3 linked regions of the Schizosaccharomyces pombe genome follow. The gene in region 2 interacts genetically with the main gene of each other region. Each region holds a gene or a part of one and is shown on either strand. Other genes may lie near its edges.

Region 1 (3,111 bases), 1.1 Mb from region 2:
CTTCATTGTGAAAAATTGTTCGCATCGAACTGAGGGTCCCACCCAAAACCATTGTATTTTTTCCACCACCAGTTGAATAAAAAGCCTTTTGTGCCTGCTTTCTTGTTTTTACTACATCTAAAGGTGCCACTACAAGAGAAGAGGCCAATCCAGCAGCTCCTCCTGCTATAGCATCCTTTAGAGAATCATCAACCATAAAGACGGATCAATTTCCTGATGATAATGCATGCATCTAAAGAAAACAGCAATTAAATAATAGACCTTGACAAATTCTTTACTTTTTTAGACGCTGATAAGAACGATCCAACGCCTTACGATGTTTCAAATTGGAAATGTATATATATTTTAGCGTTGATGTAAGAAGCTGTACAACAACATATATGTAAGTAAAGTGTTTGGCAGCCGTCAATAAGAAAGTCGAATCACTGTGCGGTAAACCACATTAACGACATGAATGTCTCCGAATTACTAATTGAGAGGACGTTCCATGCCCTTAAAAGAGAATTTCTTTTATATGTGCATATCAGATATGATTAAAGTCGTAATGCCCATTAACAATATATAATGGTGACATTGATGTTGCTAACAGCTTTACACACATATCTCAATTTTACTTCACAGATCAGTTGGCTTTATAAGCACCATTGGAACAGTGCTTTTGCTTTTGCTTTTGCTCGTATAAGTATTAAGAGGAAATTACTAATATAAAACCTTAGTTTTTCATTTTTTTCCAAGTCCAAACATATTGTTTTTATACATTAGCTTCTCTTGATTACCGCCAATTTCTAGTCGAAAAAATTATTTTTTTAAGAAATCCTACATTTGCTGAGAAGAAATGTTGAAAACGTAGTAACTACACAGTGTACCACTATATTGTTGGATAACTTTGTAAACTCCAACGTACTGTTTTGTCATACTCTTATTGTCAACTTTAGAAGCAAGATGTAGAATTAATATACTTGTAAATAACTGAAACACCATTTTTGTCGAGACTTAACTTCAAATATATTGACAGGTGATTGCCTCTATTGCCCTCATTGGAATAGTGCGTTGAACAATCAGACTGTAGCCAGGCTTATGGGACAATAATTCCTTCTTCAATTACTTATTGCTTTAGCAAAGATAAAGTGATTAAATTGGCTAACCGTGACAATAATGAGCTTTAAGTCTCAATTACTTATCCTTGCTCAGAAGCTGTCGAAAGGTGGTATTTCTTGTGAGTTGATTGAGTTTGATGAGTGTATTTTGAAGTTAGAATGGCATACTGAGCTACTTGATAAAAATGATTCCTTATTATACGAGCAGGAAGAAGATGATATTTTAAGCCTTATGAATCCAATGATCACTATGCACGCCTGGATTAGGGATTCTCCATCCTTCGAAGTCCCGCAGTTCTTCTTTCAACCTTATGCAAACGGATCAGATCCTCTTACCAAGATGGAACAGATTTTTGAGTTATTAGAAGGATCCAGTCAAAATTTAGCATATGACGCTCTTGCTATTGGGGACTGTCCAGGTACAGTAGGCATAGCATGGTATATCCATCCATGTCGTACGCGTGATTATTTCGAAATGCTTCAGATAGACAAAGAGGATCCCAAGTATCTCTCTCTTTGGTTGCTATATATTCATCAAGTCCTTTCTCCGCTAACTCAGCCTATAATAAAAGCAGTTGACGATGCCGAAAAATCCTAAAGATAACCTGTTATAAACGGGTATGCTTGCTAAGACTTTGTCTTATTAAATATTATTCCCCATGATTAAAACTAAATTAAAAGTCAATTTAATCCGTATTCTCTGGTTTTAGTTTATAATACCCTGTGAATCTATAGTAAAATTTTGACCTGTTATTTGACAGCAAAAACATTACGGATCTGAAGACCTCAATTGTAGAAAATAGCTTTTGTTCTTTAAATTTGTAGATAAAATACTATACTAATTAATAATCCTTCTGTTTTGACATATCATTCAACTGTTCCACTTAAACCTCTACTTGACCGCATTGATCTCTACACCAACAATTGTTTGTTAAGACAAACGAAACCGGGTTATATACTATTCCTCCTAACACACCTTAGCAACAAATATGGAACAAGTTCCTGTTCTAGCAGAAGATCAAAGGAATTTAAATGAATTTTCAGTGTTGCATTCTCGAAAGGCCATTCAAGAACTTGATATTAAGAATTTAAAAACGCAAATAGAGGATATTGTTGACGCTAAAAATGAATGTGAATTACTAGACGAGGATGATGGAGACGATATTCCAGCTTTAAAGGTTGGCGATGCCTTTTTCCAAGTTTCCCTTCCTGTACTCCTTGACCAGCTTGAGCAGTCAGAAGAAAGTTTGGAAAAGCAAGTCGACGTATTAAGATCTTCCATGGAAAAAGACGAAACCCGCATTCAAGAGTTGAAATCAATGCTGTACTCTAAATTTCACGATCAAATTAACCTAGACTAAGATTTGGAAAAAGCAGCAAATCTCAAAATTAGAAGCTTCATCTTATTTTTCTGAATTAGTTTCTTTAATTAAATAACATTTCATGCATTTAAATTTATTCACAATACCAAATCTGTATGCAATTAGCGCCTCCAATAAGTAAACTTCTTTGTTCACCCTAAGCCATTACAAGTATCCAACCACCACTATGGCACATGAGATTGAAATTGACTCGGAAGCTGACCTAGGTCGTACAACATTTGAGGCTGAAGACCTTTATAAGCAGAGAACTCCCATTACAAAGCCTCCGGCCCCTAGATTACAATCTCGTCGCGCATCCATGCAAGAGACGCCATGGACCATCAAAGATTCATTTAACGTGGAAACTAAAGATGTGGTTCAACGATGTATACATACTCTTATTCCCACTGTAAATTTCTTTGATGTTGTAGATGATCGTCCCGATTTATACGGTCCTTTTTGGATAACCACTACGGTTATACAGGCTCTATTCTTTTCCAACTCAATTACCGAATACGCTCGTTATGCCACAGGGCATGGTACAAGTGGCTATTCTATAAAAAAGTTGATCTCTGCAGCATCAATTATTTATGGTTACACTACCATTATCGCCGTTTTGTTATGGGGTATCCTAGTGTGGAACAAATGCAACC
Region 2 (3,764 bases):
TCACCGTTGTGCACGCCACATTTTAAATCGAGATTGGAAACTTGATACATTTTAATAACAATCCGTTAGATATAACAAACTTATTCATTTCATTTGTTCTGTTAATTTTGCAAAGTTGCTTTTTACTGCTTCGTATTAATTTCGAACAATCAAACTACTTATTCCGCAACACTATATGCTTAACCATCTTTTTTACGCTTATCATTTTCTTCTTCAACTGGTTTGATATCCATATTTTCACTAGTGCAAAATTTTCGATCATTCTAAAAATGAGTTCGAACAGTGCTGTTCAAAGCAAAAGTCCTTTGCTTCCTAAAGAAAATCCGCCTGTTAAAGCTTTTCCAGATAATATACAAGTTTCGTCCAGCTTATTGTCCTTCTTAATTTACATATTATATACTTTTTCTATCAGTGGTCTCTCGACTTTCGTTATTACAAAAGTAAGTACACATTCTTAGCAAGTTGTGGTTAGTTTTTATATTTACTGGTTCTTATTTACGTCCAACTCACCAAATTCTAGTATTACATACGTCCTCAATGGTTATACACATTGGCCCTTAGACGGGCACTCATAAAGCTTTATTACAATTTTATGGATGGATTCAATAAGCGGACTGATACATTACAACATCGGGTTGACGATAAAAAAATTTTAAAAACAATAGAAAAATGGAGTTGTATTAAAGAAAAATTGAGAAGAGTTGCCAATATAACTGAACAGGAGCAGCAGTGTATCCCGGCAGAAAGTTCGTTAGACCTGAGCATCCAGGCAATGAAAGGTGTCGTAAATGCAGAACTTTATCAGTTTGGAAGTCAAATTTCTGGATCTTTAGAATTTGATACTCCAATTGGCAATTTGCAGAAGCAAATTGTCTCTTTGAAGAGCAAAATGATTAATATCTGAATATTAAGGAACAACATAATAATTGCATGAATTCTCTGAATGCCTTATGTTGGTCCTACTGCATTCTATAGATAATAGTGTATTATATCTCAAAAAGAAAACGTATATATTTTAGATTACCGTTTTAGTTATCTTTGGGATAGATGCAAACGATCATAATTTTATACACCAACCAAAGATCTATAGTTTGGAGGGGCGTTTTGATATTCTTTAATAAAATATTCATCTTTATGTAGAACGAGATACCTAAATAAATGGTTAGTATAGTAGGGGAGTTTAAAAGCAGTAAACATACTTCAAGAATTCTTCAATGTAATTCAACAAACACTCGATGGATTGTGAATCCATATTAGTCCGGTCAATCAATTCAGGAAGGCTTACAAACAAGCGAATTAAATGTTCGACGCCATATAAATCACACATTTCAGTATCAGGATATTGCTGCCGAATTTCTAAATATTGCTGCCGTTCAAACCGATACAGCAGCATATTGCCCAAGCACTTATTAAAGTATATAACCAAACCAGCCATCGCTTGTTCAAAAACATCAACGTCTATTTCATTGTTCAAATGAGAAATCTTGGATTCTCGGAAGGCCGCTATAGCAGCCCGGACGGTGGGATTCCGCGGTATAGCTATTAACTGTTGATTTTTGGTAATGTTTTCCCAGTCATCAACAAGCCATAGCTTTAGAACGTCCGGGACACTAATCTTGTGTTTTGGAAGCGGTGGCTCTTCCTCAAAATCGTCTTTCTCGTTATTCTCGGGCTTAGTAGTTTCCTCGTTTTTAGCATCGGTTGTTCCATCGCGTTTCACTTGTTGAGGAATTGGAGACTCTGATTTTTGGGTTTTTATACGTGAAGGCAATTCATGTGAATCGCCATCAACCGTTACGGTGCTCGATTCTCGAGACCTCTTTCCTGATGTTTTAACTCCAGTTGAGTCATGTTTCGAAGTGCTGGATGCGGACTTTTTAGAAGTCGGTTTTTGTCTCGTAGAGATAGCGGCATTTTTTAACTCTTTCTGAGTCTTTAAATTTTCTTCTGTCCATTGTAGTATCCTATCTTGTTCAACCCATTCATCCCAACTGTTTTTCCATCCTTTATAATGAATCAGGTACGTGGTAACATCACCTTTCATTTCAGTATCAACAATTTTAGCCTCATAGAGTAACGGGCCGTGAAAGCATAGTACACGTTCATTCACCTTATATGACACGGCCATTCCAACAACGTTGTAGGTATGGTGGTGAGTTAGAAGTAAGAGGACGTGTGCCAAAACAGTACACTTAGCAAATTTATCCTACTTTGAAGGAGTTAGCTATTTTGTTTTAAAAATTATCTAGACCCATTAACAAACGGTGGGTGTAACAGGATACTATCTAAGCAACAAATTCATTCATCTGCAAAATGCTTGGAGAAAGTGCTATCAGTAAGTTACTGTTTTAGGATTTTTAATGATAAATTAAAAATAAACTTTCATTATGTTCAGCAAATACGTCCCAATACGCATTATAAAAAATGCTTTAGTCAAAAGGATACTTTAGGAAAAATTAGCTTTTCTACATGAGTTTTCATCAAATGCTGCGTTTCATTTATTCAATTTACTAATATCTCAAAGGTTGCTCATGAATATGGAGGAACAAATACTTAATGATTATCTTCTTTCTCAAGGGCGGTTGCAGTCTATTATAAGCTTAGAACAATGGCGGCAACTGTTTCCTCAGAGATACAGAGAAGACCCACTGATTGAGCGTTTATACGAATACTGTACACAACAAAGACAAAAGCGATTAGCAAAATTGAGAGCTAACATCCATCTCGAGAGTCAAGTTATCGGCAAAAGCAGAATAGATAGGATGTTGGCAACAAATGTTGAGAAACTGCAAACGGTCAGTCATGCCTCTACATTGCACGATGTAGAAGAATTTTACACATCACATAGTGCAAAACCGCTGGACATAAGTGAAATCAATGAGCGGCTTTCTGAAGCTGTGCAATCTGCTTATACAAAATTAAATGAGGAAAAAGAGCGCTGCACACAATTGACTCTTAAAATGAATAGGTATGAGGTTGATTAGGAATTTGGGTTGTTTTAATTGAGCTTTATTTAGCTTGCTAATAATTTCTTTCTAGTCAGATTGCATCCCTTAGCGATTTTCAATGGTCAAAAGAGCCAAACGTTGACGAGTCAATTCATCTTGTAGAATCTTTAATTGAAAGTTTAGAAAAGGCAGCACCTTCTGCAATAGAAGAATTAGACTAGGACCTTCAAACGTTAAGCTGTTCCATATTTATTCAATAATATAGCTTTAACGGGTATTTATTACAATGAATGAATTTTTTTTTCTTTTTAATAATTAAATATAACGTTATTCTGCACCTTTTTAATAAGATATATCTGTTCCTTTATAAACTCATTTCATTAAAACCTGTTCAAAGTAATGCGAATATATTTTCTTCAAAAGCATGCAGTATTTGTTCCATTTGACAAACTACATTTTAATAGAGTGATTAAAATCAGTTATCACTAACTTGTCGTAGCACGCATCCGAACCATGACTAACACAGTATAAAAGATGGAGCAAAATTTGCAAACATAGTTTGTAACACTTTCGCCAAATTCTTGATTAAATTAGGATAATATTCAATTTTCATTTTTCTTAGCATAGAAAGATTGAACTGTCAAATTTTTGGTGTCCGCAACATAATCTGGCATTTCTAGGATTTTGTTTACTTACTTGACTTCTATATAAGAACTTTTATACCAAACATGAAACGTCAAATTGACTATTCTTTATACCTTGTAACTAGCTCTAGTTTAATTGCCCCAGGTTCTACTATAGAACGTCAGGTGGAAG
Region 3 (3,046 bases), 990 kb from region 2:
CTTAAATCAACGTGCTTTAAGAATATATTTCCAAAAGCTACATGATACATTGACTAGAATCGGTTTGATTCATAGTGGTATTGGAATGATGTTGTTCATTGTGTTTTTTAACTGTTAATCTGACATCCATTGAGTCATTCTTTACAATTTGTAAAATTAATTTGTATCACTAATTTTGAAGGAAGCTATTTTGGTATTAATACCGCTTTTGGTCTCCACTTCCTTTTCGAAACTCTTAACAGCGATTAGGCCGGGTATCTTCCAGTGTGATGTATAGGTATTTGTCGTTTTTTTATCATTTCCGTTAATAAAGAACTCTTTTATCCAGCTTCTTACACTGTCAACTGTTGTGAAAGGAACACATTTAGAATTTCATTTTCCTTATTTGTTGTGATTTAAATCGTTTGACATAATTTTAAATTTGGTTTGAAATGTGTGTGAGAAGGCTTGTTTTATTCATTTAGTTTATTGCTTGTTTGCACGAAAATCCAGAACGGAGCATTAATGTAATCCTTTTTTATTCTGTAAAGCGTTTTTATACAAATGTTGGTTATACGTTTCTAAAATAAGAATATTGTTATAATAATATAGTTTTTTCTATCATTTGTTACACACACTAAAGAGACATTAAGGATAAGCAAATGTGTTAAAATGATAATATATTTTGGAAACATTTATAAAGAAATTAAGCAGCTTTGACTAACTACATTTTTGTTTTTTTCCTAAGCAAAACTGTATAGTTATACACGCGAGCTGTATTCACTTCCATTGTAGTGACTTGAGCTCTCAAAAATTCCAAATCTTCTTTACATGCTTTCAATGTTTCTTCCGCTGAGTTCAGCTTCTGCGTTAACAATGCTTCTGCCTCTTCAACCGTATACTCAAGCATAACATTTGCACCTAACCAAAGGTAGACATTGTCTTTAGCTTCTACTTCTGCTTTTGCATTTAATGTGTCATTTAGTTCATATGTAACAGTAAAAGAGTCACCTTGTCGCTCTTTCAAGAACTGAACACTCTGTAACGTTTTTCGAATGTCAGGAATTTTGTCATCCAAACTAGCAACTCTCCTGACCACACTAGTCTCCATGAATTTGTACTTTCTAAATTACATTATATTAATATGAAATAACATATATATCCTTACGCAATTGCTTCTTGGAACTTTTCGAGATGACCTTGAGCTTCCTCCATAGATAACTCTTTGAACTCAAAAAATTGAGCGGGTGGAATTCCCCGTGGATTTCTATTCATATTAGTTATTTTTTTAAAAAGTATTATACTTCAGTACATACGAAGAACTCATTCTCTATGCAACAGAAAAAGGGGCGGTTGTTTTGAACAGGTAACTGAGTGTCAAAGGTAATAGGTATAGTAATGTTACAAATTTGGAAATGCGTATTATTCCCTAATTACCAAATCTAACCAAGTCTGAACTACACAGTCTAAATAGGCAGAATATTTTGGTTATACACATGTAATTGATAATTGTTGCAAAATCTATTCATCCAATTTACCAACCATAACCTGTATAGAACCATTGCGCAGCGTAATGCATTTTCATTTGAAAGTACTAGCGAGAGTTTTATATCACTAAACTTTTTAAACGTTTTTTAATTACTTGAAATCACATATTTTAGTTAAACATATTCTGTTTGGAAAAGGCAGTTTTGTTGAAAAAATTGTATTTGAAAGACAACTTTATAGAAGGATAGTAAGAAAGTTAATTCCTAAATGGTCTATATTGAACCAAAAATAGTTACATTAAAAAACGAGAGTCATTAAAAGAGCAGATAAATTTGACATTAGAACCACTTTGGAACATTAATCGAAATTTAATCAATCATACAAACAAAAAAATTACAAAGTGCTCGTTTAGGTCACTGATCAAGAAGGGCGGACGGTATAAAGTAATTTGAAGTAAAATCAAAAATGTCAGCGAATAATTTAGAGGGATCCTCCGTGGTTTCAGGTTCTGCATCTTGCATAGGCGGTTCATTTGGGTGTAACATACTGTTGATGAATCTTAAAACATATCCAAATCGGACAGCCATGCCATCATCAAATGTTACGATATCAACCATTCTTTCTTGTACATATAATGTTATGTCACCTAAGTCAGAAGGCACCTCAAAGCCTTTATCACGGCAAAACGCAGCCAACATGAGGGCGTGGATAATCTCCAACAACGCTACCAAAAGCCAGCCTCGTTTTTCTAATATAGTGATTTGAGATATGAGTAGCCTCACGCACTGAATACAACTTTCACCCAAATTACCAATAATAGTTTCTTCATCTTCTAAAATCCCTGAATCCAGGGTAATAAAACATTGATACAAATTCACACGTGCAGTCCAGAACACCATTTTCAAAAATATGTATCGAAATTGAATATCTTCATTAGAAGGGTCATAAAACTTTGCTTCTATATCTACCAAAATAAGCGAAAGCTGTGATTCATAACTCTCCAGTTTATCAATGAATTTACTAACGGTGAGTGAATGAACAGATTTATAGATTGAAACACCACAATCAAGTAACCTTCCAAGAAGTAGATGAAAATTGTAGCTAATATCGTCATTAAAAAAACAACGAAGCGGCTTGAGACGACCATAAGTGTCGTGTTGAATGAATGGCGGACGGTACTTTAATACACATTCCAAACCATCAATTTCACAGAGAGCAAACCACAAATCTGACGTATTTTTTCCTATTTTTTCCGTAACTTGGAAGAGGGGAGTTACTAAGGTTGATACGTGAATGCTTCTACATAAGTCAGTATTCACTCCTCTTATTCTTGTGCGAAATTTTGTTGCATACGCTCGCAAAAGCAGCATCTGAATTATTTCTTTATCAGGCAAGCATAAATGTTTATATTCCTGCTCGGATATCTCGTTAAGTTTTAAATTTATAAGACGGCTGGATTCCAATGGAGTAATCCCCGCCGAATTATAAAAATTGAGAATAACATCAGGCAAATCGCTCAGCTGGATAGTTGCAGCAATAATTGGTAATAAAGTGAAGGCATCTTCGTACGAAAAAGATT

The links.
Region 1: of alp13 (region 2) and pfd4, changing one enhances a phenotype caused by changing the other (phenotypic enhancement), as found in Schizosaccharomyces pombe (2 studies listed by BioGRID, with this or other methods).
Region 3: of alp13 (region 2) and pfd3, changing one enhances a phenotype caused by changing the other (phenotypic enhancement), as found in Schizosaccharomyces pombe (2 studies listed by BioGRID, with this or other methods).

The regions. Positions count from the first base shown.
Region 1 is NC_003424.3:503,898-507,008, forward strand, and holds pfd4 (prefoldin subunit 4), read left to right. Parts: upstream 1-2,011; 5' UTR 2,012-2,086; coding exon 2,087-2,458; downstream 2,459-3,111. Other genes in the region: yea6 (NAD+ transporter), read right to left, coding at 1-196; atg10 (autophagy C terminal domain family protein), read left to right, coding at 1,156-1,695; yip5 (Rab GTPase-binding protein), read left to right, coding at 2,646-3,111.
Region 2 is NC_003424.3:1,586,424-1,590,187, forward strand, and holds alp13 (Clr6 histone deacetylase complex, chromodomain subunit Alp13/Eaf3), read right to left. Parts: upstream 2,155-3,764; 5' UTR 2,129-2,154; coding exon 1,200-2,128; intron 1,151-1,199; coding exon 1,066-1,150; 3' UTR 905-1,065; downstream 1-904. Other genes in the region: SPOM_SPAC23H4.21 (uncharacterized protein), read right to left, coding at 1-50; SPOM_SPAC23H4.13C (uncharacterized protein), read left to right, coding at 270-440, 521-904; centromere localized protein Cnl2, read left to right, coding at 2,532-2,968, 3,040-3,169; thi4 (bifunctional thiamine-phosphate dipyrophosphorylase/hydroxyethylthiazole kinase), read left to right, coding at 3,677-3,764.
Region 3 is NC_003424.3:600,180-603,225, forward strand, and holds pfd3 (prefoldin subunit Pfd3), read right to left. Parts: upstream 1,340-3,046; 5' UTR 1,307-1,339; coding exon 1,296-1,306; exon of another isoform or gene 1,247-1,295; coding exon 1,148-1,246; intron 1,104-1,147; coding exon 704-1,103; 3' UTR 647-703; downstream 1-646. Other genes in the region: inositol phosphorylceramide synthase Aur1, read left to right, coding at 1-5; SPOM_SPAC3H8.08C (transcription factor), read right to left, coding at 1,881-3,046.